Linked DNA regions of Notamacropus eugenii. The protein of the gene in region 3 interacts with the protein of the main gene of each other region in a pairwise test. Links are inferred from orthologs where the notes say so. Each region holds a gene or a part of one and is shown on either strand. Other genes may lie near its edges. The genes, in order: BLK, NFKBIZ, STAT3 and BMX.

Evidence for each region.
Region 1: the proteins of STAT3 (region 3) and BLK interact in binary tests that used the Homo sapiens proteins (3 or more experiments, as listed by UniProt). The link is inferred for Notamacropus eugenii from reciprocal best matches to the Homo sapiens genes STAT3 and BLK.
Region 2: the proteins of STAT3 (region 3) and NFKBIZ interact in a two-hybrid assay, tested with the Homo sapiens proteins (2 studies listed by BioGRID and IntAct). The link is inferred for Notamacropus eugenii from reciprocal best matches to the Homo sapiens genes STAT3 and NFKBIZ.
Region 4: the proteins of STAT3 (region 3) and BMX interact in binary tests that used the Homo sapiens proteins (3 or more experiments, as listed by UniProt). The link is inferred for Notamacropus eugenii from reciprocal best matches to the Homo sapiens genes STAT3 and BMX.

The regions. Positions count from the first base shown.
Region 1 is NC_092872.1:576,936,386-576,943,547, forward strand, and holds the start of BLK (tyrosine-protein kinase Blk), read right to left. Parts: upstream 3,008-7,162; 5' UTR 2,657-3,007; intron 1-2,656. UniProt on the Homo sapiens protein: Non-receptor tyrosine kinase involved in B-lymphocyte development, differentiation and signaling. B-cell receptor (BCR) signaling requires a tight regulation of several protein tyrosine kinases and phosphatases, and associated coreceptors.
Region 2 is NC_092876.1:368,225,722-368,233,726, forward strand, and holds the start of NFKBIZ (NF-kappa-B inhibitor zeta), read right to left. Parts: upstream 3,015-8,005; 5' UTR 2,895-3,014; coding exon 2,591-2,894; intron 385-2,590; exon of another isoform or gene 249-384; intron 90-248; coding exon 1-89. UniProt on the Homo sapiens protein: Involved in regulation of NF-kappa-B transcription factor complexes. Inhibits NF-kappa-B activity without affecting its nuclear translocation upon stimulation.
Region 3 is NC_092873.1:358,862,087-358,869,917, forward strand, and holds the start of STAT3 (signal transducer and activator of transcription 3), read right to left. Parts: upstream 3,014-7,831; 5' UTR 2,722-3,013; intron 1-2,721. UniProt on the Homo sapiens protein: Signal transducer and transcription activator that mediates cellular responses to interleukins, KITLG/SCF, LEP and other growth factors. Once activated, recruits coactivators, such as NCOA1 or MED1, to the promoter region of the target gene.
Region 4 is NC_092876.1:374,584,392-374,591,554, forward strand, and holds the start of BMX (cytoplasmic tyrosine-protein kinase BMX), read right to left. Parts: upstream 3,011-7,163; 5' UTR 2,915-3,010; coding exon 2,882-2,914; intron 1-2,881. UniProt on the Homo sapiens protein: Non-receptor tyrosine kinase that plays central but diverse modulatory roles in various signaling processes involved in the regulation of actin reorganization, cell migration, cell proliferation and survival, cell adhesion, and apoptosis.

The DNA.
Region 1 (7,162 bases), on a different chromosome or scaffold from region 3:
AAAGAGATAGGATTACAAAAAACGAGGTGGGGAAGTACCAAAGGAAAATAATGAGAATAGTTAGCATTTAGATATCATTTGAAGATTTGCAAAGCACTTAATGTAAGTTATTATATTTGATTTCATCACAAGAAAATTATGCTACTTACTAATTTTGCCAAAGGTTGACCCTGTTTAGAAAGAGACTCTAGTGAATTAGGCAGAGGGTCTGGTCAGTGAAGATTGACTAGTAGAGGGAAGCCTTAGAAATTAGAGAATTGCAGAGGAAAAACAGCCCCACTTTTAAGGGTCTAGAAAAGAGAAAAATAATGGATCACTGCAATCACATGTATATCATTAACAAGTCACATTTATCCACAGAACTAGGAATACTTTGATTAACAACAATAATACACGTTTCTTATTTCCATCTGCCGTGTTACTGTGCCCTAAAGGGTAATCAGGCTTTGCCATCTGCCCTAATCATAAACAGCATTACTATTGAGCCTTCCCATCTGCCTTATAGATGACCCCTCCATTTTCAATTAGAAGGTGCAGTTGTTGAGAGTGGGGAGGGAATGTCTTGATTTTCTATTTTCATCTAGTTGTATTAAAGCTTGGCATGTAGTGAAGCTTAGTACATGCTTTTTCATGCATGCATTAGTTTGCTTGGGTTTTCTTTATCTGATTCCTCTAGCATGGCTTCATTTCTAATTCCCTATTCTTTATGAGTTTTCACAGTACTATTTTTATTCCTGACTGTGTGTTTGCTTAACACAGATGGGAAAAATGAGCAGGAAGCAACTGAGATAGTGAAAGGGATCGATCACATTCTATATTTAATATCAACTCAGAGACACACCTTTTTTTTCCCCTGGGATTCTGAGGTCAAGGGCTAGTGTATTTTTGAGCTCCAGAAATCACTGGAATTAGATGGGATGGTTGGAAATCACTGGAATCACCCAGGTTTCTCCATCCTTCTTCCCTTAAGCAAACATATTTTCAGCTAATGCTAATCAGGCCCTAACTGCTTGAAATCTCTGTAGACTTTCACTTCTCGGTCAGGTTTTTAGCTTCCTCAGTCTAACGTTATCACCCCAACCAGATGTTTGCTCTTTCAAGTATGTGTATCATACTTCCTCCATGCCCAGTCTTATCTCAGAAGTAACTGGTTCACAGAAGCCCTTACCCTTCATTGCCTAAACCTACGGTTTGACTTTTGTGACTGAGCAATACGATGTGAGCTTGGCGGAGACTTCTAATTCCAGCCAGTGCCCTGACTCATCTTTCTGAAGGGTGAGTCACTTTGCTTCAGTTATAACTTCTGCTAATGATGAGCTTTGTTAGTGTCCAAAGCCCTGGACACCAAGCTAACATCAGACCTCAGCTGTCAGAGGGAGAAAGCCCATTGGCTTGTTCAAGCCTGGACTACTCTCCCTCCTCACTTTCCCTTCTTAGCTTCCCAGGCTTTCTTTAAGACTCAAGGCAAATCCTATCTTCTGCAGAAGGCATTTCCCAGTCCTCCTAGCTGTTAGTGCCTTCTGTCTCAAATTACCTTCCATCTATTCTGTATAGATCTTGCATGCATCTAATTATGTTGTTTCCTCCTTTAAAATGTGTACTTACTGAAGTTATGCACTGTTTTTTGTCCTTCTTTATAGTTCCAGTGCTTAACACTGGGTTACATAGTACCTGGTTATATTCTAAAGTTACCATAGACCAGGCTAAGGCCCAAAAGTAGTATTCCAAGGAGAGTCATTAAAAAGTAGAAGTCTTGGAACCTCCCATGGTCCAGGATTATCCATTAATACCTTCTTTGGACATTAGACCTGAGATTCTCCCCGAAAGGAATTATTCACAACTACAAAGAACTTCCAAAAAGAGGTAACCCAATAACAAAACCACTCCCAACAAATCGATCTAGTTGTATATATAAAGAATTAAGTAAAGAGTAGAAGAGAAAACAGCCAAGTAGCAGATGAGGCATTGGAGCAAAAGGCAATTTCAAAATATACATTTTTTTTCTTTTTCCCCCCATTGATCTTTACTTTCAAAGAAGAAATTCTGGCAGAGACATCTCCTACTTCTTCATTCTCTAGATTTTTATCCATAGATGGAATCAGTTTCTTACTGTTCAGATTTTCTTACCCTCAGATTTTTAAAACCACCTGAGATAGGTTTAAAAAAAAAATCATGAAACTACCAAGCTTAATTGCTAGAGGGTCATCCATAGAGTCAGAGAGAACAGAGTCAAGTCCTGCTTCCAACACGTACCGCTTGTATGATGTTGGCCAAATCATGTTATTTTCATAGTGCCCTAGGCGGCTAAGACTATAAATTACAGATAAGTTTGCTTGTCTGTATCAGTGGAAGGAATTTCCAAGCTGGAAGTTCCCTATATTGATGAAAATCACAGATCTGGGCTCCTCCCTAAAAAAATCCCAAACAAATAAACAAAAAGAAAATCAATCATTTGTAATCCATTGACCGCAGCAGTAGTGACTACATTATTTAATTTTCAATATCCATAATAATCATAATATTTTCCCAAATACCTCTCCAAAAAAACTGAAAAAACTCAGAGCAAACCATCCAAATCAAGTCATAATGATAAACACAATTAATTAAATGTTAGGCATACAGCTGAAAATGAAAAGCAAACAACTTAGGTCTTTACCTCGGCAAGGTTTCACAGCATAGTCCTTTAAGTCCTGATGGTCACCCTTTTGGAGGAAGCCCTTATGGCTGAAACAGTCCTTGGTAGATTGAATTAAATCCTAAAGAAATCGCATGTCCATGAAAAAAAATGTGTCTCATTTCAGGCTGCCTCTTGGTTGCCTACCTCACCGACAGACTCTGGGATCAGAGCTTTGCCCAGCTATACCCAAGGGGCAAATTCAGGGTTGAAGTGGCTCAGGGACTCTTCCAGTTGAACTATTATGCTGAGCCTTCCAGGCACAAAAAGTGGTTTCAGAAGTCACGTGGCTCACACAGCTAAAAGTACTTCTTAGTTTCACAAGAAGTTTAGTGAACTAAAAATCCCTCTAAGCCCCTTTTCTCATGAGGAGGTGGAAATGCCAGGCATTGTCATTTTTTAAACCCCAAACGAGTTTGTGTCATGATATCAAAACATCCTCATGGGACTTCAGCATAGTGAGGTGGACATTTCCTGAGTCTTTGATGGCATCATCTAGGACTAATTTCATCTCAGTTATTGGGGAACCACAGTGCAGAATTCTTGGGATTGATTCTATAGCTTGTTTTTGATGGGCTCTGCTTAATCTTGTGGCAAAACTCTATGTAATGGTCAACCCAGATCAGAGAATTGTCAGCCTTTTTAAACCAGTTGGATGGCTGAAAAAGTCCTTTTACAAAGAGATATTTACTTTGAAGACATGGCAACAACAGAAGCACAAACATTTCTCCCCTATTTCAACATTTCAGGGGTACAATCTCCTTTATGACACTAGTCTCTAGAGAGAGGAGGTCCAAATAACAGTTTCTACCTAGCAATGGTACCATTCAAATACAACTTGCTGCCTGATGTACCTTTTTTCAGCTGCTGTTGAGATGGTTCCTGAAGGTTGCTTCTTGTTCCTCAGTGTTGGATGGGTTACAGAAACCAGCATGCGCTCCACCACCAAACCTCAGATACACTTAGGAGCTCAAAATCAAAGTTCTTTTTTATGCCTTAGCTAAATTCTCACCATTAAAGATTAAACCCATTTTGTCTAATTCAGTTCATTTTAAATGAGCTCAATTCCATTCCATTCAAGGAGTTCCCAATGCAACAGAAGAGGTAACAATTTTTTTCTATCTTGCATTATCATTAATATTAGAAATAACAATAATAATACTACACATGAACATACATGGATATGATTTCCATTAAGTGATCAATTAAAAATCTTATATTTTAAAAGTTGTTAGGTATTTTTTCATCCTTTGTTTCTCTAAGTCAATAATTCCAGTCCCTTTATCTTTTCCTTATGGGCCCTATTTTTAGGTTACCCCTCTTCTTTTATTTCCTTCAAAGCTCAGCTCAAGCGCCACCTCCTACAGAAATTTTTCCTTATACTCCCTACTCTAAACTACTAATGCCTTTCATCCTCAGATTTTCTTTTATTTATTTTTATATCATCTGTGCATACTTATACAAGAATATATTCCTGCCCCCATTAGAATATAAGCTCCTTGAAGGCAGAGAATATTTCCCTTTTGTCTGTGTAGCCTTAATGCCTTGCACAGTATATACTTAGTGTATACACGTGCACACACGCGCACACACACACACACACGGTATATACTTAATAAATACTTGCTGATCAGTTAATATGCAGGAAGGCTCTATATAATATCAAATTATTATGTTAGAGAGGAAGAGAAGGGCATAAGCATTTATACAATATCTACTATGTGACAAGCACTTTGTTAAGCACTTTACAAATATTATTCCATTTGGTCTTCACAACAACCCTGCAAAGTAGGTGCTATTATTATCCCTGTTTTACAGTAGAGGAAACTGAGGTAAAAAAAAAAAAAGACTAAGTGACTTATGCAAGGTCACACAACTACCAAGCGCCTAAGGCCAGATTTGAATTCAGGTCTTCCTGACTCCAGGCCCAGCACTCTATCCATTGTGCCACTTAGCTGCTTCAGAATACAGATGTCATATGGTATCCTACTTTACGTACAAACCATGAGGAAGATTGCAGCAGCAAAGATATACAGGATCATTTCTTCTACAAACACCCATTTCCCTTTGGGACAACTCTGAGTATCAAGAAGCCCAGATTGAGGAACCAAGAGATATCTTTATAAGTAAGATTTTTCAAATTTGTGGAATCTAACTTCATAAAATGAAACAACTCCGCTCCTAGATACCACATCTCACTTCCCATGACATCTTTTAGGGTGGGAGTGGGGGTTCCCCAGTAAGAAATTGGGGAGTTTCCTGGGAGATAATGGAATGTGAAACTAGACCCAACTCCTTTATTTGTACAGCCTTCACCTTTTCTGTTCGACTATCCTCTTGACACCCACCACATCCCCATTGTAGCTTTATCTAGTGATGTATAACCACCCTAATCACCAAATACCCCACCCACAATTCTCTCTACAATCTGAAATTAGAATCATTTGTTTTTAGACATGAGAGAGACCCAAGAGATCTAACCTAACCTCTTCTTTTTATAAATGAAGAATTTGAGAGCCAAAGAGGTTAAGGGACTGATAAATCACTCCTGAGAAAAAGATCCTTGAGAGCAGGAATTGTCTTTCTTTTTACTTGTAGTTATCCCTTTTACATCCTAGAGGTTCAGAGCATGGCACCACAATCTGGAAAATCCACATAAAATTTTTTGGCCCTCCCTTACAGACTTCAGAAGAAGTCTGAATTTTTTTTTCTTTTTCATTTATGGGGTGTTTACAGCACCTTATTGTGAGATTTGGGTTAAGTATTTGGTTAAAGGCTATATTACATAATAGTATACATATATTTTATGCATTTCTGAGTTTCTAAACTTCCTCAGTGTTATCTGTTGACTTTCATGTGTTGTCTGTGGCTTCTGCAAAACTCCCAAAAAATTCCCATTTAGTTTCTTATGCTGACCCACGATATATCAAAACCATGATGGGGAAAATCACGACATGGAAGGGATGACTGTATTTGTGTCCTCATCATTTCACATGGTACCTGATGCATAGCGGGTATTTAATAAATGCTTTCCTTTAAAGGAAACAAAGGTTCTTTCCTTCATAGAAGTAGAGACTAGAGCAAATGAAAAGACAGCCATATGGGAAAAAAAAAACTTAATATGGATTTGAACACAGCAACTTGAACTCTAACATCCCATTTGGACTGGGATCGTGGCTCCAAAAGCTGTAAAGCTTCAGTGTTCATTCAGACTTGAGAGATTAGCACTCTTTTGCCTGCTGGGATTGAAAAAGAAGCTGATTTAGACAGAAAGCTTTTATACTCTAAACTTGGAAACCAGTGCCATGAGTTTCAAGTAACTATGTTCCTTTCTCACTGTTTTAAAGACACAGAAGATTTATGTAGGGTGTTGGCCAGTGTTCACTTGAAGGCATAGTAGGTGATAGCCATTGGTTTATATTCCTTTGCTATTCAGCTTAATTAAATGCCTTTTGCTTTTGAATTCATGTGTCATTTGGCATGGTCTGGCACAGAGATGTATTGTTGGGGGCTCGAGACCTGATGTCCCAGAGAGAACTCTGAAGGTGGATACAGAAGCTAAGAAGTGTTCTAAAGATAGGAAAGTGTAAAATGGTTATTTCCATTGGGCCTACATCCCAGAAAAATAGAACATAAACATTGTGACATATCATAATTAATTGCTGGACCCAGGAGTTTAAGTCTTATTGATGCAGTTCAATTGCATGATTTTTTTATTTGGAAAACTGTTCATTTTAGACAAAATTTCCCATGTGGGTGATTAGGATCCTGAAAATTCACAAAAGGAAAAGCTATCTCAAATATATCACACCCAATAAGAATTGTATAACTATAGTTGATAAGCCACAAATGCTGAATTGGGGAAGGTGTATATCTCACATTTTCCCCCCAGATCTATGGTGTCTTTGGTGTAGACAACAAATCCTAGTGGAAAAAATCCTTTAATACAAACAGGCAACATACAGCTGAGAGAGGTTAAGTGTCTACAGGCTACAGACAGTATGCTCTAGGGGCAAGACTTGAATTGTTTCTATACATTATTACTAATAGGAAATAGGCAAACTCAGATGACAAATTTTCTCTCCTCTTTGTTCCTGTACCTCTCATTTACTTAGTTTTCTCTCTTCCCTTCTCCTTCTGACCTCCTTCTCCAATAGAATCTTCTTCATTAAGTCTGTCAATGAGTTTTGTATTGAATGTATACTGTGAACTAGGCTTTATTAAGTGCTAGGAATTCAAAGAAAAGCAAATATAGACCCTGCCCTCAAGAAGCTTACTTTCTAAAAGGGGAAGAGCCTGTTTAACTATATTCATACAAGTTGTATATAGAGTATTGGAAGGTAATTTAAGAAAGGTGGGTGCTAATAGCTGAGTAGACAAGGAAAGGTGTGCTGAATTAATGGAACTGGAGATGAGAACTTTGAGAGAACCAGAGAAGTTAAAAGATGGAGGTGGGGGAGTAGAAAATTCTAGGCTTAAGATATAGGT
Region 2 (8,005 bases), on a different chromosome or scaffold from region 3:
CAACAAGAGTTCCTTCACTGAATTTCTCACACGAACACCTTGAAAGGGTCCTCTCTGTTGCCTTCCACCAGCCATATGGTGGTCACCTGCTTATGAAATAAAGAAACTATATTTGAGTTTATACAACTTAAAAAACACAAATCTAAATGCCCTCCAAGATTATTATCAAATAATGTCTAATGGGGAGCAATACCTACTGGTATACCTTTTCTTTTCTTTCATTTTTTTGGGGGAGGGGGGGAGAGGATATTTGTCTCTTCCAACTGAATTAGCCATTCCCCATTAGGAATTTAGAAAAGGCAACAGACCATTGGGAGACATTCTTCTGGGCTCCTGTTTGAAACCAACAGCTACAGCAAACCATTGGTCTGGATTCAGGGCCTACCTACTGATTTGTCTTGAAGCGATTGCCGTGAAGCCCTTCTCTGAAAATGTCCCCTGACTTCCCAAGGACTCCACAGGCAGCAAATACTTACTAGTTATGTGACCGTGGGCAAAGTCCACTAAAATCCTAAGCCAATCAGTCTCCTCATCCATAAAATGGAGATAGTAACAGTTGTCTACCTCACAAGGTTCTTATAGAGATGAAATGAGCATTTATTTACACACTTACTTACACACACACACACACACACACACACACACACACACACACAGAGTGTACGCATATGGATGTATATACACACACATCTATATACATACTTCAATACTTAAAAAGCTTTTTGTAAATACAGCTATTATTATTGTTAGCCCCTGACTCTAAACCACCACACATCACCCCCAAACACACACATAATCTCAAAATTTTGAGGAAATTTTTAAAATTGTTCTTTCTTCACAAAAAAGGGTGGTGACAACACCAGATCTAAGTTGTCTGAGAAAAAGTACATTGTGTCTATCTGCTAACTCTATAAAACAGGAATAAAGTTGGTTATCCCCTTACCACATGAGCTTGCTATAAGGATTAAGCAATTTTATTAGTTAATTCTCCATGGATTCTTTAAACAAAGGGTTTATATTCTTCTAGAGATTAAAAGGTCTGGTATTTCCACCCTACAAGGCAAAAATCAACTTTTTCCAGTAATCTCAATTTACAAAAACTTTAGTTTTGTGAACTAATATTTTTTTTTAAAACACCTTTGAGGATTTCCCCACTTAAAAAAATTTTCAGAATCATCTCCTGGTCTTCCTAGTAAAAAGGAAATAAGCTGTTGTTTTGGAACTTGAGCCAAAACTTGACAATGTTAGAAACAGAGAAGATGAGTTCAGCGTTCCACTTATGACCACTTGTGTCGTAACCTCTTAGATCTGTTGTTCATTAAATAAACAAGCCAAAAAAGCCAGGAAGTGGAATGTTTTAGGCCCTTGATTTGAAGAAGGGAGAGGGGAAAGGAAGGAAAGAAGAGAGGATTGGAAGGGGGTAAATGAAGTTCATAAATTGCTCTGTTAAGCTTTGAAATGCCACAAAAAGTTTTACACACAAAATCTGATATGAAAAGTTGTATAGACTAAGGCACACCAAGGCATGACAGTAGCCAAAAATGGAAAGAAAAAATAACTGAAAAAGCAAACTAGCCAAATGGCTTGACCCAGACACAGTCAAGAAAAAGACCCTAAATTCCATAACCCAAAGAGTCACTCCTCCTATGCACTAGATATCCCAATTTGGACACTGGCCTTTCCACATTCCAGTGAACCTCAGTTTACTCATCTGTACAATGAGGGCACTGGACTAGATAATCTCCAGGATTCTCTTCCGATTTAAAAACTATACGATCTCACTAGTTGACATTTATTGAGTAGCCATAATAAAAGTCCAATGAATGGTTTTAAAAACAAGACTTCCAGGTGAAAAATTTGGCACATTCAAAAAAATGATAAAGCCAACCAGTCGGGGAGGGAAGGCTGGGAGTGAGAAAACGCCCCAAACAAGTTTGTAAGAAACTGACCAGCCATTTTTTAAAAGGATTACAAACACTAAGACTGATATGACATCTTTAATTCTCCTAGAAGGCATAATTGCCACCTCCTCCTGGCCTCCCTCCTCAAAAACAAAAAACACAAACAAAAACCCAACCAGCTGCACTAAGCAAACAAAGGGAAAGCTGGACTGGCTTATTCCGATGAGTCTGTCGGGTAGGGGGAAACCTGCTCTTTATCTGACCCGTGATTAAGAGAAACAGAACTGCTTAAATCACTGCTAAGTCAGGACATAATTCTTCAGGAAAGAATGCCTCCGATTTGCCATAATTACGCCACAAATGTAGTGTGAATCACTGCACACTCCTTCATAATTTCGTTCTTCACGGTTTCCTAACGTTGCACTTGGATGTTTTTATGACAATTAGAACAAAAGACCCTCACAGACACCAATCACTCCAGCAGAATTTCTGATCCCTCCCCCAAAGAAAACGGCCACTCACGTCCTCGGTCTCCCCCGAAGTCAGCGGAAGCTAAACCATTACGGATCGCTAAAGTTGACGCCAAGTACACTGCTCCACCACCCCCTCCGCCTCCCCTCGCTCTCGAGCAACCCGTGCCCGCGGAACGCCCCGCACCCCAAAGTCACGCGCGAGGGGCCACCGGCTACCTGGCACACGGTCCGCGCGGGGGCCCCCTCTGGCCCGGGGCTCTCCGGGGGCGCTTAAGGAGGAAGCCGAGGAGACCGAAGAAGAGGAGGAAAAATCGGAGGAGTCCGAGCCGGGGGAGCCCGGCGTCGAGTGGCTGGAGGACAAGAAGCTGGCATCGCTCGCCCCCACGGCCGCGGACGGGGGCGACCCCCCGTAGAAATAGGCCAGGTTGAGGGGGCTGGTCATGAGGCCCCCCTCGCCGGCCGCGCAGTCCAGCAGGCCTTCCCCGCCCCGGCTGTCCTCCTGGAGCTTGTCCACGATCATGCTCGCGGGCAGACCACGAGTCGCTCCGGCTGCGCCCCCCCACTAACCACTCTCCCACGCACTGCTCCCCGCACCAGTGGGACGAGGGACACGGACTCGGGCTGCGCTGGTCGCTGGCAGGGTCCACGCTCAAATCAGCCCCGGCGCACCCACCTAGACGAATTCAGCTCGGCTGGGCGCGGCCAACAAGTCCCCGGTTTATAGGCGGGCGGGGGCCGGGGAAGGGGGTGAGGGGCAGCCCGCGCGCGCACAAGAGCCTGCCTATTGGGCGGCCGCGGCAGGACGACAGCCCGGCGGCTCCTCCTCCGGATGCACAGCAGGTTTCCAGTAAAATGTACAGGATGAGGCAATGCTCCCCTCCGCCCTCGTCCCTCCCTTCCCCCGCCCCGTCGGGGCCTCGCCCAGCCGGGCTCCTCCTGGCCTAGGTCGGTTTCCAGCTCCCAGCCGACCTTGACTTTGACCTCCACCTGGCTCCGGGCGTCCCGCGCACCCGCTCTCCACCCCTCGCCCCCTCCCCCACTCTTCGGTCCCTTCCCTAGGCTCCAAATGCGCCCCCCTCCTCGAACTTGGCACCAAGTCCCAAAGCGGGAACTGGGCAGAGCCGTTTACAGAAGAGCGGCCCGATTTTCCCTCCTGCAGCCCGGCGGCCCTGGGAGAGGGGAAGCCGAGTGCTCGGAACAGCTGGCCCCGCGAATCAGACCCTGCCCTCCGCCATTCCTGGGCACTCCCTGAGCTCCTGCCCTGTGCCAGGCACTCCGTTTCCTTTGGCCAGGCTCGGAACGTGCTGGTCCCTCCTCCCTCCCCTCTGCCTCTTAGTTTTAGAGATTTCCTCCAAGTCTCAGATCAAATCCCACCTGCCACGGGACTCATTTTCCCAGGCCCCCACCCGAGACTAAGGCCTTCCTCCCTGCAGACCTCGCAAGCTCCCTACCCTTATGCCACCCTGGGCTTGGCCCTTCCTTACAGAGATTATCTACCAACTACTCCACAAATCTCGTATTTACCTCGTTATTTACTTGCTGACTCTCCCATTAGAAAGTGAGTTTCTTGGGAGCAAGGACTGTTGTTTGACTTCATGCTCAGCCCTGGGTCAGGCACCCTCAAGAGCTTAATAAATGCTTTTTTCCTTCGATTGATGGCTAGGCCGTAACAAAGTCCTTACTTTTGAGGAATTAACCTACCAAGACACCTACACAAGTCCATCCAGTATAGGTATAGTGTGGCAAAGACAAGGGACAATTCCTGGAGAGACCAGAAAAGACTCATGGAGAATATGGTACCTGAACTGGGCAATAGTGAAAAGAAGAAAAAATTTCAGTACCTGACAGTGAAGAGGTAGAGTCCTCAGGCCATTAGAGACAGTCTGCAGGAATGCATGGAGGGAAAAAGGGGGACCCAATGAGGAAGAGACCCGTAGAAGCTGGTTGTGATGTACAGTGATTAAAGGAAAGAACAATTTGGAATAAAGCCTGGAAAGAAGGTTGATCCTAGAAAGATCAGTTGTATTTTTTATTTTTGTTTTGGGGGGTAGGGGGCATGGCATGGCCTCAATGTCTAGTACAATAGTCAAGGTCAGAGGTGATGAGAGCCTACACTAAGGAGATGGTGGTCTGAATAAAAAAGAAGAGGAAAGATGTGAAAATAGAATCAACAGGATTCAGCTACTGACAAGATGAAGGGAAAGGCAATGGAATAAGCATTTTTATCGCACCTCGTATGTGTCAGGCACTGTGTTAAGCACTTTACAAATATCTCATTTGAGGGAGGGAGGTGGAAAAGAAAAGTTAAAAGTTTTGATCCTGGATGAACAGGTTAGGGGGAGGGGTTCAATTTTAGACCTACTAAACTTGAGGTACCAGAAGAACATACTGGTAGAGCTGCCCAGCAGCCATGTGGAAATTCAGATTATAAATTCCTAAAGGGAAGTGATAATTTTTTTCTATTTGTCTTTGTGTCCCCACTGAGCAACACAGTATCTAGAAAATAGTAGGCACTCAGTAAATGTTTACTGGATTGGAATGAGAAAGTTTGAGGCTGGATGGGAACCATCTTCACAGAAGTAATCTTTGGAGTCTTAGGAGATGATGAGATTAACAAGGGAGAGAGAAGCAGAAAGAAAGAGATGAGCAGACAGAGGGAGAGACAGACAAGGAGACAGGTATAGAAAGGCAGAGAGAAAAATGAGAATATAGAGAGCAGGGGTCCTGAAACTTTTTTGGGTTGTGGACCCCTTTGGCAGTCTGGCGAAGTATCTGGACCCCTTCTTAGAAAAGTGTTGGTTTTTTGGGACTTTTAACTAATTTATTTATCTTAATACCATTTGAGTTTTGTCCTCATTTGCTATCTATCCTTTATTCATGGGAAGAACTAAGTTCTCTGAGTTTTAGTGGATGAACATGGTGGAATTGGGAATAATGTTTTAAATGAGTAATCCAAGTCCCCAAAGTCTGTTGGTTTGGGACTCTCTCTTCACTGATGGAGATCAGTGCCCAAGGACCTGTGTGAAAGTAAAGGTGGAGGTAGAGGTGATAAGAGTGGGAGAGAGTAGAGTGAGTCTCTTCAGTGTCTTTGAGTCTCTTGATTCTCTTTGGGCTTGTTAGTTGCTTCCAGAACTTCAGGCTTCCAGCTTCAAGAGAGAAGATGGACAATGCCAACTCCTACTTCCACCCTACCCTTCATATAGGTACAGGGCACTGATCTTCCCTTATTAACAGGCTTTGGGAGTTGGATCACATTCACATACAATAAAATGAATAGGATTATAATAAAAACTTATTATGCTGAAATAGTTAGTAAAATATATTTTTTTAAAAGTTCATAGACCTCAGGTTAAGAACTTTCACATAGAGAGGTAAGGTCCAAGTCTTATGGAATCTTTATGTTTAGAAAAAGAAGGAAAGAAGCAGGAAGGAAGGAAGAAAAGAAGAATGAGAGAAAGGAAGGAAGAAAAGAAGGGAGAAAGGAAGGGGGGAGGGAAGGAAGGAAGAAGAGTAGAGAGGGTTAGAGGGAGGAAGGGACAAAAAAAGCATTTATTAAGTACTTACCTTGTGTCAAGAACTGGGCTAATCACTGAGGATACAATAGCAAAATGAAAGATAGTCTATGCCCTCAAAGAACTACATTCTAATGAGCAGAAGGAAACATACAAAAGAAAGAGGGAAGGAACAAGCATTTATTAAGCTCCAACAGTATGCCAGACATTGTGCCAAATAGTTTACAAATCAGATAGAAGGGAAATGAAAGTACCATGGGCAGGGTATGGTTTTGAAGGCCAGGAAGTCAGGAGCAAGCCTGGGAGGGGAATGAAGGCAGTTGGGCCTAGGCCCTTCCACAAAATGGGAGACTCCAGAAAGAACTCACCAAAGGGAGAAAAGGGGGAATGGAGAGATGGGTCAGGTTTTACAGTGGGGGATGAATATTCCAGGGTGAAGTTGTAGTTTGGTTCAGGGCAAGGAGGTTCCAGGATGAGTCTGCATTAGAAGGCTCAAGGTTTTCAAGTCCAGAAAGAAACAACAGGACTGGGAAGAAAATAAAATCTTTATATTTAGAGAGTGGAAGATAAATCAGCAATGTTAGCAGGGGAGAAGTGTCAAGAGGTAGGATAAGGCCTAGGAGAGAACAATCTCACAGAAACCAAGAGGAGGGAGAGTGTCCAGAAGTAGACAACACAATAATATGTTGGTCAAGAAGACTGAGGCCATCATAATAGCCATTAAGAGGTGATTAAAAGCAGCTTCAATAGAGTGGTGAGTCAGTAGCCAGTAAATAATGATAAAGTGACAGCAATGATTTATAAACTATGAAGCATCCTGAAAAAAAAAAAAAGTACTGGACTTGAAATCAGACATTCCTGGGTTTGAGTCCCATTTCTGACATGAGTTAAGTGTATTAGCATGAAGAAATTATTTCACCCACTGTAGTTTCCATATCTGTAAAATGAGGATAAAAATACTTGCACCACAAATTTCTCAAAATTATTCTGAGAAAAACCCCATGTCATAGAACTTGGAGCTACAAATGACCCTCATTCAAGCTGTCATTCTATGTAACTGTATGGGAAGTGTCTCTTAAAAGAACAGAATGTAATTTTTGTAGGGTAAATATAGGATAATTTAATTGCACTAAGACTTTTGGGACATCCAGTATTTCCTCATTTCTCATGTTCTTCATCTTATTGCTTTCATGACTCCTTCCTACTTCCCCACCCCCAATTCTTGTCCAATTTGGTAAAAATCTGAATCAGATACATGTAAAATACAAAATATAAAAAAAAAGTATTGCATAATTTTATTAAGCTACTATAGTAGACTTCAATATAAATTTCAATAGCATTCATCAAACATATATTTTATATTTATATATTGTTAGCCTAAGAAACAAAACAAATTAAAAGCCCATAAAGAAGCCAAATAAGACATAATACTTTCATTTTTAATTGTTTTCCCATTAACACATTATATATAATATAATAGGCCAACTCAGTCAGTTGGGCTAACCTATTCCTGAACATGAATCCCATCTACAGACTCTATAAGGGATTATCTGGCTTTTTCTCAAAGACTTTTAGTGACAGGGAACCTTCTGTCCCCCAAGAGGTGGCCCATTCCACTGTTAGGCAGTTCTAATTGTCAGCAAATTTTATGTTATTTTATATAAATTTTATATTTAATTAAATTAATTATTTATTATTAATTCATGTATTATTCAATCGTTCATTCAATTAGTCATTATTCAATTAATTATATGATTATTTGAATAATAATGATATATTGATATTTGTAATTATTATTTATTAAATTACTTTTATTAAATTTATATTAATTTTATATTAAATGTAAATTTGTCTCTTTGCATCTATTGTTCCTAATTCTGCCCTTCTGGGACCAAGGACAATATATCTATTCCTCCTTCATCTACAGAAAGAAAGCTGTCACATCCCCACTAAATCTTCTCTTTACTCATAATTAAAGATATTTTTGATATTCAAAATTAACTTCTCCCCCTCCTCTCCCTGAAAAAAAGGTATTTTCCTCCCAAAGTTCTAGTTAGCTTATAAAAAGGTAATGTCTCAAAACTGTGGTATATGTGGAATTAGACAAAGAAAGAAGAAT
Region 3 (7,831 bases):
AGCGAATCTGTAAACAGCAGGTTTGAGTAGCTACATACCTGAGGAGGTATTTATAATTATAACAGAACAGAGTACTAGGTCTAGAGAGAGAAGACTTGGGTTCCAATTCCAGGTCTGCTATTTACTATTACAGATTCTGTGAGGAGACCCCAGAGCTCAGACCACAACTCACCCTAGCACAATGACATTTAGGTCATGATTACCTACGTGACCTTGGTCAAGCCATTTAATATCTCTGAACCTCAGTTTCCTTGTGTGTAAAATAAGAAAGTTTATCTAAAGCTTCTCTAAGGTCCCTTTCAGCTCTTACCCCTATAATTTGATGACTTTTTTGTCTTCTTGTTTTCCGTTTTGAAATCCATTATTATATTTAAGATGCACACTCTGATATGGCTGCATGCTAGCTCTCTGAGGCTCTTAAAGAAATGAGAAGTAACTTTAATACTGATGAGCAGGTTAAACACTCACAGAAAAAGCCTTTTTGTTCATTCAGTTTTGTATTATTCACATGATAATGACCAATCGTGAATTGTGTATATTCTTTACAGGTAAGACAACCGATTACTTCTCAGCATACATAAAGGATAAGAAGTACCCTAAATATGTTATATAAGTGAGGGGAAGGAAAATGACAGACTAAATCTATAACCACATATCTACTTAATAGAACAATAGAGCTAACACAACAAGTAACAGACATTAAAGGCAACCTGAGCAATGCTTAGTTGTGCAAAGTGTGCCCCATTTTAAGCCACACATATCAAATATCATTTAAGTTTATGCACAAGTTTTCACCAAGAGGTCTTGCTAGTCTTTGTTTCCCTTTTCTTCTGCATTTACCCAAGATCTTGGCCCTGAGACAGAATACTCCCACTTGTTATTACTTCACTCTGACCTGTACAATTAAGCAACACCACAATCCAATAAGTGCAATGGTTCAATTATTTATCTTCTGTCCTCCTTTATCAGGTTTTTTTTTAAATGAACAACAAATTGGAGAGGGAAAGCACCTAAGGGACGTATTACATTTCTCTGAAGCTATTTGTTTGTATATAAAATCTAGCTAATAACCAGACAAAAAACATGGGGAGGAATTTAGGAAGAGTCTCTGAAAAGCCATTTATGTCTACCCAATTACGGGGAGTGGGGGGAGAGCACAAAAGGAAAATTAATGTCCATGCAACTCAATAATTTCATATTTTCTTACCAAAAAGTAGGATGAGATTTAGAGCCTTAGAGATGATGAAATGACAGAGCAATATTTATATGATGTTTTAAGATTCACTAAGGACTGTCCTCACTACAGATTGTAAAGGGGGAGTAAAAGTATTATCTACATTTTTATGGATGAGGAAACCAAGATTAACTCTAGTCACACAGATACTAAGTCTCAAAACCAGGATTTGAGCCTGTTTTTCCTAACTCCAAGTCCAGCCCTCTTTCTGTTACATCACACCAGTTTCTCACTTTAGTCTGAGCCTTTTATTCTAAAGGCAAGAAAACCAAGGCACCTAAAGTCAAATATTGACTGACCTTTATTACCTATATGATACTGGGGAAGGCATTTAACATCTCTGGTCTTCAGCTACTATGTCTGTCAAATCCTAGAGATGGACTAGATCATTTCTCTGGATCTATCTAGTTCTAATTCCCATTAACACCTACCTATATGTCTGATTGTAAATCAAGCATTCTTTCCACCATCCCTGGCTATCATCCCTCAATCCCACCTGGATCCAAGGCAACATGATTGCCTATATAGAACAGAAACAAGGAATATAGCCATGGGAATCATCTCTCAACTCTAGATTCCCCAGGCATTTCTCTGATAACTCCCTTGAAGAGAAGGGTAAGGAAGATAGAATGCCACTGGGAAGAAGAATTGTCTTCACTTAAAGAATGACAGAAGAGGAGAAAGGAAAGATGGGTAGGGGAAAAAAACTCTTTCATTAGAGGGGAGGAGGTAGGACTGTTTTCCCATGAAAAGAAATGGTAAGGAGAGAATACTGACAGTCTTTTATTGAAGGAGAAAATGGCTTAGCACAGTGTCTGGGAAAGAGTAGGTGCTTAATAAATGTTTCTTGATTGACTGCAAAGAAAGGGGTCTCTCCTCTGGGAGGAAGAGTGATAAGGTAGTCTGTTTTTCTTTGGGGGCAGGTGGGGAAGCTTTTTCTCCTTGGAGGCCAAGAGGAGGGCAAATAATGGGGAAGCCCTGACTTTGCTTAGAGAAAAAGACGCAGAGATCTCTCCACGGGGGCATGTTAAAGGGAGAATGCCGGGGAAGCCTGGCTACTCCAAGAGGGAAGAGGGAGATGGGAAGGAGAATCGGGGAAAGGAGTATTGTCTCCAGGGATGATGTGAGGAAGGTGAACGGGAAGAAGGAGGACTCTCTGGGAGTGACGGGAAGAGGGGGAGGGAAGGGGGAGGAATATCTCCCCAGGAGGGGAAGGAAGGAGGAGAGAAGGGAGGATTCGCTCTAGGGGGAACAGAAGTAGGCGAAGACAGAGAGAGGAGGGGAGGAGGGAGGAGCACTCTCTACCCCCGGGATGATGTGGGGAAGGAGAAATGGAGGAGGGGGGACTATCTCCCTCAGAAGGAGTAGGCGGAGGGTAACGAAAGGGGGGGAGGGAGGAAGGTCTGTCTCCCCAGGGGGGACAGCAGTGGAGGGGAAGGAAGGAGAAAGTGAGGCCTCTCTCCCTTTCCGGGCGCCCCGCCCCTCACCTGGTCCCGGAGCTGCGGCCTGTGACAGGCCCTGCGGCCCCGCTGCTGGAGTGGCCCAAGATGCAGGCCAAGTGCCTAGTCCCTTCAGGCCGTGCAGGCGGCGAGGTGGCTCCTAAACTGCCTCCGCTCAACCGTAACCCGAGACCCGGAGCTGGAGGCGGCGGGACCCGGATGTGGGGGGGGTTACGTCTTCTGGCCGGGGTTCGGGCTCCCGGGGACCCTTCTCAGTTTAACGTCGAAACCCACTCCTCCTTCGCCGCTACCGCCGCTGCTCCGGAAACGGCTGAGTAACAAGCCACCCAACCAATCGCCACTAGGATCCCTGCCAGCCAAGACCCGCCCCTAAAGCATAATTCATGAGGCCCCCAGCCGCCTCGGCCACTCAGAGTCCTGAGTCGATTAATTATGCATCAGGAACCCCGCCCCTAGAACCAATGAGCAAACACCGACCAGATAAATTATGCAGAATAAGTGACGTATGGAGGGGGACGCCCCCGTGCGGGCTGTTCCCTAGGTGGCGCTGCCCCTCCCGCCGGAGCAGCAGGAACAGCAAGGGCTAAGGCCGAGGAAGCCCCGGAGGGAGGGAGGGAAGATGACGGGAATGTACTGCTGAAAACTCAGCTGAGTTCCTGGCAAGGCGTGACGTCAAAGGCACTTTAAATGCCCCTAGTGCGGCTCCCTCCTCCCCTCACCCCACCCCCACCCTACCCCGGACCTCTGGAACTGCCAGGTGCTAGACGAGGGTGGAAAAGACCGAGGGAGCCACTTGGGAATGGAGCCGTCTAGCAGACCCCCTCACACTCCACCCCTCCTCGGGGCACTCAGTGCCAGCGGGAAGGGCCAAGTCCCAGGGCTGGGGAGAACGAGAAACATGTGGCACAGTCCTTGTCCGCCTACAGGCTGCTGTGCGACACTGGGCATTGCATGCGAGCAACACCCTCAGCCCCACTCACGGAAATGAGGAAAGACATGACGCATACATACAAGAAGGATAAAAACGAGTCGAGGGAGAGAGACTCGGTAGTCCGATTTCCCCGTCCAGTCTTCTGAAGACCCCAGACCGCTTTGCACTTGACCTTGGATAGCGCTACACAGTAGCCAGTGTCGGTGTTGAGCCCTGTGCACTAGAATGACATTATTTAATGTCATCTTCTGACGTGTTTGCTCAACCATCCTTGTTGGCATTGTCTGCCAAAAGAGCTTCCACACATAGAGGAGCCGATACCTGTCTTAGAGACTTGCTAGTGCTCAAAGGCACAGATAATTTTCAGTGAAAACAGTCCGGAGGCCTGAGTTAAAGTGTAACCTTGACCTTTCTTAGGCTCAATGTAACTACTACACCCAACAGAAAGAACTACCTACTTCAGCCAATAATTAATGTTTTTTCCCCTTCTATAAGAGGGACCATGTAAGGTGTCCCAAGAGTTTAAGGATTAAAACTACACCAAGACTTGTGGGTCAGCCTGTACTTGTGAGATGTAGTACTCTCTCCAACCATGCTGGTCTGGATCCATTCTTCATCTCATTTTGTTCAACTTTGGTCCTTGTTTTCTATTAAATCCTCCATAGGAAATCTGCCCAACATGTCAAGCTTGAAAACTCTCAAATTGAGTAATGCTGTTCAAAGCAACGGTTAAATGGTATTCCAGAGGACTGATAATGAAAAATGTGCCATACCCAACCTACTCCTTCCTGCCTGGCATTGACATGAAGTTGGGGAGATATCGTTTCCCTGCAATGTCCCTACTCTTAGTGGCAATTTCCTGTAATCAAAAGTTTTGTAAGCTTAATACCAGATCTATTAAATAATAGATTGTTGGTAGGGGAATATCTGAGGTTAAGTCAAAAATTAAGCTACTAGGCTTAGGACTTCAGACCAACAACAATAAGTTAGGGTCCTTTAATTCTTATTAATAGTGTGGAGACAATCAGGTCAAGGTTAGGATACATAGTTATTATTTTGTCTCAGTTGGTTAATGTTAAAAGAAAAATGGTTTGTGGTCTATATGGTAAATGCTTTAAAAGAAGCATCACATGACCAGAAGTTGGAATTGTTTTATGATGTGATATGTACTGTGTTAAAAATGATTATTTATTGTATTTATGTTAAGTATTGGACCCTGTTATTGACTCCTTAGGGAAATCTCATCTTTCTGATGGAGAAAATGAATAATGAATTAATGTAAGGTGTAAATGCTAGTTCTGATGTGGATTTCTTAAATATGACAATTGGCCAAAGTTCCAATTTTGATTTTGTAGGAGTGATAAGTGTATAAAGCTTAGGAATGGTCATCTAAAATTGTATCAAGGTCAGTTTTGTAGGAGAGTGAACATCTGGATTTCTACAAGAAGATATGGGAAGAAGATGCAGATATGCTGTGCTGAAGACTGCTTGAAGAAGCACCCAGACCAGAAAACTGCATCAGATGATGTTTCTCCCCAGACGACTGTATGAGATGGAACCTCCGAATGGACAATTCATTGATCTACCTTTTCCTTTTGAATCTCTGTATCTGTATTTATAACAAGGGGACTGCCCCCTTGTAATTTGTCAATGCATTGGTCAACTTTGCTCCCTTTCTATATTCATATAAAGGGGGATAGATGAAGGGAAAAATTCATAGAGGAAAGAATGTGAGGAGGTATTTATTGATTGAATTTAGGTGTGGAAATAGAAATTTTAATAAAGAAAGAGGGAGGATTTTATGGGAAGTAAGAAAGTTCTGTTGTTCACATTCCTAGGTGATAAGGGTTGTGACCTAGCATGGACAGGTTAGAAGTCAGAAACTAATGCACAGGCCCAAGGAGCTGTGTGAGGAAGGGCCTATCAGAGAGGAGAACATGGAGTCACATGGCCAGGGGACAGTATCTCGGGAGATCCAAAGTGCACAAAACAGTAAAAGAAGACCCATCTTCCTAGACATGTTGTAGTCTTCCTGTAACCTCACTGGGGAAGCTACCTGTCCATTCAGGGGGAATGGACATAAAGATTAATAAAAGCTTTCCTGATTTCAAAAAAAAAGAAAAAAGAAAAATGCGCCATACCCACCTCCTGACAAAACAGGGATGGGACTAACATACACATTTTTAAACCTTAGTAATAGAGACATTAGAATGTTAACTCCTCGAGTGTAGGAACTGTTACTTTACCATTTGTATTCCAGGCACTTAGCATGATGCTCTCTTTGCACATGCTCCCCCCCACCCCATTCATTCAGAAATGTGTTTTGACTATGCTTAACATTTACATAAAAGAGAAAGTTTTCCCCCTATGGGGGAGAGTGGGAGAATTTTTTGTTTTTTACATTTTAAAAGAAGAAATGGTGTGGAAACCTACAAGAGCAGGAAGGCTGGCTGGTTGGCTACCTTTGGCTCTTGCAACATGACCAACACACCTTCTTTTCTGGTTATACTTCTTTCCAACAAAATCCTTTACATCATTGGGATATCATACAAGAAATGTATGGTCACGAAGGAACATGTGTCTCTTACAGTAAGAGATAACAAATAGGAAGCTTAAATTCAATGAAATGTAAATGTAAGGGGGTAGTGGGGACTAGAACACAATGTTGGCCAAGTTGTTCCCTCCTGATCATGGTTAAGTGCTTCCTCTCCTGGCTAAAGGACAAGTGTTTCACAGTCACAATGACTGGTTCCTTGGTTTCCATAACTAGAATATGACAAAGAGTATTGCCAACTGATCCAGGAGGAGCCATACCCTATTTGTGCTTTTAGAGGAGCTGAGAACAATTCCACATATTCCCTGCCTTTCTCATTTGAGCTTGTGGCACTGGGATTCAGTCATCTTTTCTTTGGATCAGTGAAATGAGATAATTTCTCTCTCCCCACCCCCACAAGTTCCTCTACACCATGAGCACTAGTCAGTCATAATTCAGGTTTCCTTAGGTGTGCCTGAGACTAGACTTCAAGTCCCTGGATACTTCTGTTTTGTCAGTCACTTGAGCACAGGTGACTGAAAAGAAAGCCTGGAAATACAGATGCTTCAGAAGTTCAAGGGAAAAGTAGTTGCTGGTTGTCCATTGGTAGGTGTTTCCCACATCTTCAATGCTGCATAGAGAAGATATGGCCAGGAGAAAACTCCAGAAGGATATTGCAGCTGAAAGGACTAAAACAATTCAGGGTAGCCAGGAGATCCAGATTTGTGAATTACATAGCACAGATCATGGGGGAAAGTAAAATATCTCCTCAACAATACATAAAGTACATTTATTGGAAGAGTATAGTAGATCACAGGTTGATTCAACATTTAAGCATTTATTAGCACGAGCTTATGAGTCTCTTGTGTTTTAAGCATTATTTTTAGTTGTAAAAAAAAAAATATACCCACATGTATGTAATCAACATAGAATTTTGCTCATCCTCTTCCCCTCCAGAATTAAATGAAATCAAAGCAAAGTCCTCAAATTATAAAAACTCATAGAACTGATGAGGGCTGGAAAGGGGGTGTGAGACCCCCACAAAGACCAGGGTACCAGGGGCAGGTCGTTAGAAGAAGAATTCACGAACTCAAGCATTGTTGAAGTCAAGGTAAAGATTTATTATGCTTTTCAGAAGGCAAGCATTCTTACAGAACCTGCAACATTAAAGGGATACAGGGAAAGTTTATGTAGGATATTCTGTAGTATCATTTTGCCAAATATGCCAAGTAGGTGTTTTGGGGTGGGATTAGGGAGTGGTTAAGGAGTGATCAGTTTTTAAAGGAACATGCACTTTTGGTATCTACTGTGCAAGTATTTTACCCAAAATTCATGGGGAAATAGCCCAAGGAGGGGCTACCTAGAGGTATGGTTTTAGGCCTGAAACATCATTAAGTCAAAAAACAGTCAGGGCTGACCAGGAAAAACCAGACTTCCCTCATCAATATGTTGTTAGACAAGATTAATGTAAGGGAGTACAGGTATGGTTAAATCTAGAATACATGATTGGTCAGTGAGTAGTAAATGTCATTATGACCCAGCATACAGGGAGTTCAGTACACAGCTAGTTCAAAGTAATGAATTCTATAGTTGCAACTGATTACTATAGCAAGAAGGGAGATAATGATTGTTGCCAGGGCAGGCTGTGTCCCTGAGGGAGAAATTGCCTGAGA
Region 4 (7,163 bases), on a different chromosome or scaffold from region 3:
GTTTCCTATATTAATTAATTATTCTTGGTAAGTTGGTGCTAACTTCAGTTTTTCTAGCTTCTGAAGGCATGCAAGGAATGTCAGGACCCTTTAAATTCAACACCCTGGTGCAAAGCCATAGCTAGCTATGGCTTTTGTTCTAAATTCAGAGCTCCTCTCCTCTAAATTATACTTGTCTTTCAGACCACTCAGTGAAGACAACACGTCGGTAAGGAAGAAGTTCTGAATTCAAATATAACCTCAGACACCTACTAGCTGAAATCTATGCGCCTCAGATTCCTCTTAAATAGGGATAATAATAGCACCCACCTCTCAGGGTTGTAAGGATCAAATAAGATAATCATTGTAAAGTGCTTTGCAAACCTTAAAGCATTCTATAAATAAACACTATTATTATTTTTTACAAAGAAGCTGTCGCAAGCATTCTTAATGTTTTTCCTCCCTAACTGCATTCTATTATTGGATGCTATCAGGTACTAGAGAGAAAAGCGACAATTGTGCTCGGCATGATAATGACATAATGCCTACATTGTACTAAAGATGTAGATAACAGAAGTGTTTATGTAATGTGCGGCAGATGGACAATAGCCTGGTGCCAGAATTGAATAAATGGAAGCATTACTGTCACATATTTTGAATCCTCTCTTATGTGCTGCTATGTAGATGACATGTTTTTCCTCTCCTTTCTTACTTTGTGTTTAAGTTCCAATATTTAAGTTTATGATATATTTTTGTTTCTTTTCTCTATTCTATATTTTTGTTCTGGTATTTGAGTCTAAAATAAAATTTAAAAAAAGAAAGGTAACTGGACAGCCTTGAGGAAAACATGTGGTGTTTCCTCTACCCCCCTCCTCACCCCATCAATGCAGGTGACACAAAGGAAGATTCAGACCATTGTGGGGGAGGGTTCAGGGGAACATACGTAGTCAAAGACCGATTTCCTGAAATAACCTATCCATAAGAAATGGTCCAAGAATCATCATTTGTAAAGCATAAAACTGAAAAAGTCAGCAGCAATCAGAAAGGACAACAGATAGGCAGTCCTAGTACTGAACTGGTACCCAGAAACCATTAGATAAAACAAGTCTTCCAGCTTGGTGGCAGAATATATTCTGTAGAATCCATAGGAGACTAAGTACAAGAAGGGGATAGGAGGAACAGATGTGAATGCACTCTGATGTGGGAAGCACCCCCATAGATGAGATCACAGAGGCACTGGGAGTAAGAAAATGAGATATTGACAGATATTAACTTTTCAGCCCAACCTCCTGCTACTTGATACAACTGGCCCCGAATTAACTCTCTGCTTATCAACTTATTGAGGTAGGTAGGTGGTACAAGGGGTAAGAGGGCTAGACTTGGAGTCAGGAAGCCCTGAGCTCAAATTCAAACTTAGATATCTAATAGCTGTGTGACCCTGGACACATCACTTGTTTGCCTCAGTTTCCTCAGCTGAAAAATGGAGATGACCTTCACATGATTGTTACAAGGATAAAATCAGATGGACAGATAGATCAGAGAGATAAAAGATAGATAAATCAGATGGATAAATCTGATAGATAGGTGGTGAAAATCCAGTGTATGAATAAGGCTTTGCAAACCTTAAAGAATTATACAAATTCTAGCTATTATTATTAGAGAACCAACTACTTTGGAGATCTGTTTTCTTATATAAAAGGCAAAACCCAATTCCTTTCTTATAGTAATTAGAGTGGGCCTGGGCAAAATTGGGATGTACTTGAAGTTCCTGTTCAGCAACTTTACTTCCCCTTTTGAGACTTTTCCTTCTTTTAAAACCACTGTCCTCTCCTGCTCCCTTTTCTTCCCCCCCAAATATCAAGGGATTTTACTTTTGGTCTTCCTTGTCAAGGAGAAAAGTAGAAGATGGTGATCCACTTAATACCTCAGGATGAATGCCTTTAATTTCAAAGGTTCTTCACCTGGGGTCTGCCATTTTGTTTTTAAAAATATAAATCTTTTGCTGACTGAAATCAGTTATGTAATTGGTTTTGCTATCCTACATGTTTTATTTTATGTTACAAAGTTTACACACAACAACATGAAAATCCCTTCTTTAATTTAATTCCTTGTACTTCCTAGGAATATCAGATTTGAAGGGATTTAAATGTCAAATACGGTAGCATGTATTTGCTCTTGTTGGCAGTGAGGAACCACTAAAGCCTCTTGAACAGTCAAGTCATAGCTAAGCCAATGCTTTAAGAACGCAATATTTTTATCACTAGTTAGAGACATCCAATGAGGAAAAAACAATATCTATTTGGTCACAGAGCTGCTTTCGCTTCATAAATTCTATAAATGGGTAAGTAATATTGGAGAACTTTAAGTTCCCCAATTTTAAACAGAGGCCTGGAAGGGAAAGAAATTCCAAGGAATGATTCAGAACCAATTTTCCTGATTTCAGAGTCAATGATTTTCCTCTGTACCGTGCCACGTGACTGGTTCATTTTCATAACCACTGTCCTCTTTCTCTTTCTCCTCCCCACTAAAAACAAACGTTAGGAAAAAAAATCCCTAAACAAATCAAATAACAAACCACACACATACAGAGAAAGTCAGTATTAAAAAAAAGAAAAGAAAACACTCACCAATTTATAGAAGTTAGCAATCTAACAAAAAGCACTGGGAAAATAAGGAGACATTTTTCTTTCAGAAGCTGTTAGAAGGTGTATGTTTGAGAAAGAAAATAAAAACAACCAGCAGAACAAAACAGAAAAGAGAATGCAAATCCCAAACTTATTTATCACTAAACTTAATTCAGGCCAGTACAAGCATCAGCTGACCTCTCTCTTGAGCCAGAATTTGAACTCTACCAAGTTCCTGTATAAAAGACACTTCATTGCCACCAACCTCTGCTACATACCATTTCTGATGGCTCCATTTTATTGGAATCCATTCCAATCAGAATAATCCAATAATTGTTGAAAGAAAACAAGCAGTGATCACCTTTGTCGTGTCCCAGCTGGCTTCCTCATGTTTCTTTGACTGGGAGGCCTGAAATAACCACATTACTCAGTCACCCCAAGTGAATATTGTTCTGCAGGACTTTACACAATCCTACAGGAAACCACACTCAACACTTGGCCAATGCTTGCTGATTTGATTGAACTCAACAAAAATAGAAGTAAAAGCACATTTTATAAAGATTTAAATTTAGAGAGGTAACAGGGCTGTTTGGGGAGGGAGTAGAATGACTGAATAAAGTTCAACAGCCTTGCCTTTGTTTATGTAGCATTTTTATGAAAAGAACAATAAAATATCTAGGCAAAAACTCCCTTTCTGACATTGACATACAAGTCAGGAAGCAGTTAGGTAAGACCAAAGAGCTCAGAGAATAAGCAGTAAGTGTTAACTCAAGACTTGGACAGATAAAGTAGAGTAGACAGATTAAAGACATTTGTTGTTATTCAGTTCAGTTGTTTTCAGTGGTGTTCCACTTTTCATAACCCTATTTGTGGTTTTCTTGGCAAAGGTACTGGAATGGTTTGATATTTTTTGATATCATTTTACAGATGAAGAAACTGTGGCAAATAGGGTTAAGTGACTTGCCCAGGGTCATACAGCCAGGAAGTGTCTGAGGTCAGATTGGAACTCAGAAAGATGAGTCTTCCTGACCAGGCTCAGCACTCTATCCACTATGCCACTTAGCTGCCCACATAAGGAATATATTTCTATAGTTTGGAGCACTGAGTAATACAACTGGGGACATACCTTTCTCTAGTTTTTTGTTGTATACCAACATTATAGGGCATATCCATGAATGGTTGGGGGAACATGTAACCATACCATTCTTATCATGGAATCATGTCATTGTTACAACTTTTCTTTGCTCATCTTATAATTTCTTTTCGAGTTTGTTTTCTGACTAGAGCTGTAATGTCATCAGTGTAGGAACTTCCTCTACTAAACAGTCTCTGTAACTTATAGTCTTAGGGAGTTGTCTGCGGCTCTGAGTTACTTGCTCAGAATCACATAGTCAGTGCCTGTAACAGATGGGTCTTGAAGCCAGGTTGTTGTCACTTAGAAGTCAGATCTCTCACCACTGTAATTATCATGCAGCCTATAGTTGTCTTAGAATCTAATGTTTTGGTGACGTAAGTAAAAACACTCACACTGATACTACTCATAACACCTTTTGGGCACAGGGGGGAGCAGCCAAGGAAAGAAATCATTCATTTGGCACATGTTGTAACACTATTTTAAATGGCTAGTTACTTAATCCTTTTCATTCCAACAAGTCTAGAGTGTAGCTTCAGAACTACATTGGGAGGCAAAAGTTCCAAATGTCACTGTTGACTCAACTCTAGATTCCAATCCATATTTGGGATAATTTGATTCAATTAGAATCCACACGAATATATCAAGCACTAAACTGTGCTTGGTGCTGGAGGAGAAAGAAAATTTAGAAAAGGCAAAGCTGCTGCTTAACATCTAGAACACAGATATGACATACATGTATATATAATATATAAATGCGTATAATATATATAAATGTTTATGTGTGGTGGGATAATATACAATATGCATGTGTAAGTGCTTACATACATGTATACACGTACATATATCTATATTTATTTATACAGCATATACACATTGCTTATGTTTGTTTCTATAACGTATTTATATAGCATACATTTATGTGTGTGTGTGTATATATATATACATATATACGTCATATCTACCTTCTAGATGGTAAGCAGCATTACCTTTTCTAGTAAATATATATGTAATATTTTTATATATGTAATATTTTCCTCTATATATGTAATTTATATATATGTAAAATTTATAAATATGTATTTACCAAATATTACATCATATATAATTGGTATAGTGGCAAGAGCCCCAGATTTGGAGTCAGTGGAATCCTGGATTGCTACTTACTACCTGTGTGACTTTGGGCAAGTCATGTAACTTCTGTGTTCTCAGTTGTAAAACCAGGGGTTTAGACTAACCAATCTCTACGGTGCCTTATAGGTCTAAACCCAAGTCACGTCTTTGACTGGGTGGGGAGTGCTGTGGGGAAGCGAGTCATTACTGTTCAGAGAGGATCAGTAAGGCTCTCATAAGTGAAATGACATTTGAAGCAGTCTTTCAAGAGTAGGGCAGCTAAGAAGTAGAACCTGAGGGGATACCCGTCAATTAGGGAATGGCTGAACAAGTTGTGGTATGTGATTATGATGGAATACTATTGTACTATAAGACATGATGAGTAAGATGCTCTCCAAAAAGCCTAGAACGACTGGAATGGCTGATACAAAGTGAAATGTACTCTGTACAAAGTAACAGCAATATTGTGAAATGATCAACTGTGAGTGGCTTAGCTATTCTCAGCAATCCAGCAATCCAAGACATGTCTGAAAGACTTAGGATGAAGAACGCTATCTACCCCTAGATAAAGAACTGATAATGTCTGAATACAGACTGAAGAATACTTTTTTAGCTTTATTTTTCTTGAGTTTTTTTGTCTATGTTTTCTTTCACAATATGACTATTATGAGTATGATTTGCATGACTACACATGTATAACTTAGATCTACTTGCCTTTTCAATGGGGGGCAAGGGAGGAAGGGAGATAATTTGTTTTAATAACAAAAGTTAAAAATTGTTTTTACATGTAACTGGGGAAAAATAAAATACTAAATTTAAAAAAAAAGAGTAGGCAGCTACGTGGCACAGTGTATAGGGCACTGGACCTAGATTTAGGAAAATTCCTCTTCCTGAGTTCAAATCTGGCCTCAGACACTTACTAGCAGTGTGACCCCTGGCAAGTCACTTAACCCTGTTTGCCTCAGTTCCTCATCTGGAAAATGAACTGGAGAAGGAAATGACAAATTACTCAAGTATCCTTGCCAAGGAAAACCCAAATGAGGTTCACAAAGAGTCAGAGACAACTGAAAAAAAAAAAGACTTTAAGAATGAGTAGGAATTTTACCCATCTATTAACAACAACAATAATAATAGCAGGTAGCCTTTATATAGCACTTACTCTGTGGCAGGCACTGTGCTAAACATTTTGCAATTATTATCTCATTTGATCCTAGCAACGAGCCTGCAAGGCAGATAAATTATGATTCTTGCTTTACAGATGGGAAAACTAAGGTAGACAGAGGTTAAGTGACTTGCCCAGTTACACAGCTCAATGTCTGAGGCCAGATTCAAACTCAAGACTTCTGGTGCCAGTACTGGCACTCTAACCACTGTACTACAATATTGTATTGTGTTGTACTGAAGTTATCTTTATTTTTTAGTGTTTTATTAATACCACTTATTTTTGCCTCATCTTTATTTCAAAATATATTGTTTCTGACACTCTACCTTGCAAACCATCTCTTGTCACAAAGAATAAAGAAGAAAGCTATTTTGGGGGTAGAGTCAAGATGGTGGAGTAAAAGCAGGGACTTGCTTGAGCTCTCCCCCAGACTCCTCCAAAGACCTGTAAAAATGACTCTAAATAAATTCCAGAGCAGCAGAACCCATAAAATCACAGAGAGAAACAAATTTCCAGTCCATGACAACCTGGAAGGTCAAAACGAAAGGTCTGTTGCACCAATCTGAGAGAAGAATACAGTCTAGCATGAGCTATGCGACCCAGACAAGACCAGAACAGGGCTTAGGACACTGAATCACTTGCAGCTGTGGCAGTTTCCAGACTTCTCAACCCAAAAACACCAAAGACAACTTAGAAAGTCAGTAGGAGAAATCTATCAGAGCTGGGAGAAAGAGGAATGCAATCTGGCCCACCACACAAGGTGGTGGTGGTCTGCAGCAGCAGCAGCAATGGCTGCATCCACAATTCTTGGCCCACAGATGGTGGGGGGATAGAGCAACTGATCAGAGCAGAATTGCAGGAATCTCTTTGCTTGTGCTGAGGCAGGATTCTCTTGCTTTGCCCATGCCTGGATCTGGGTCATAGTCCTGAGGGGCAGTCCTGGGGTGAGGAGAAGTGCTTGTATGGTGGAGCTTGTGGTGGCAGTGGAGAGAGAATCCTCCTCACAGTTCCAAGGCAGAAAAGAATGCTTGAGGTCACTCACAGACCAGAAAACAGGCCAGGAGAGGAATAAACACCTCTCCTTTGATCATATCACCTTGGAAGAGGTGAAAATGTACAGGTCCCTAGAAGTGTTTATGAAAACAGCTGCACA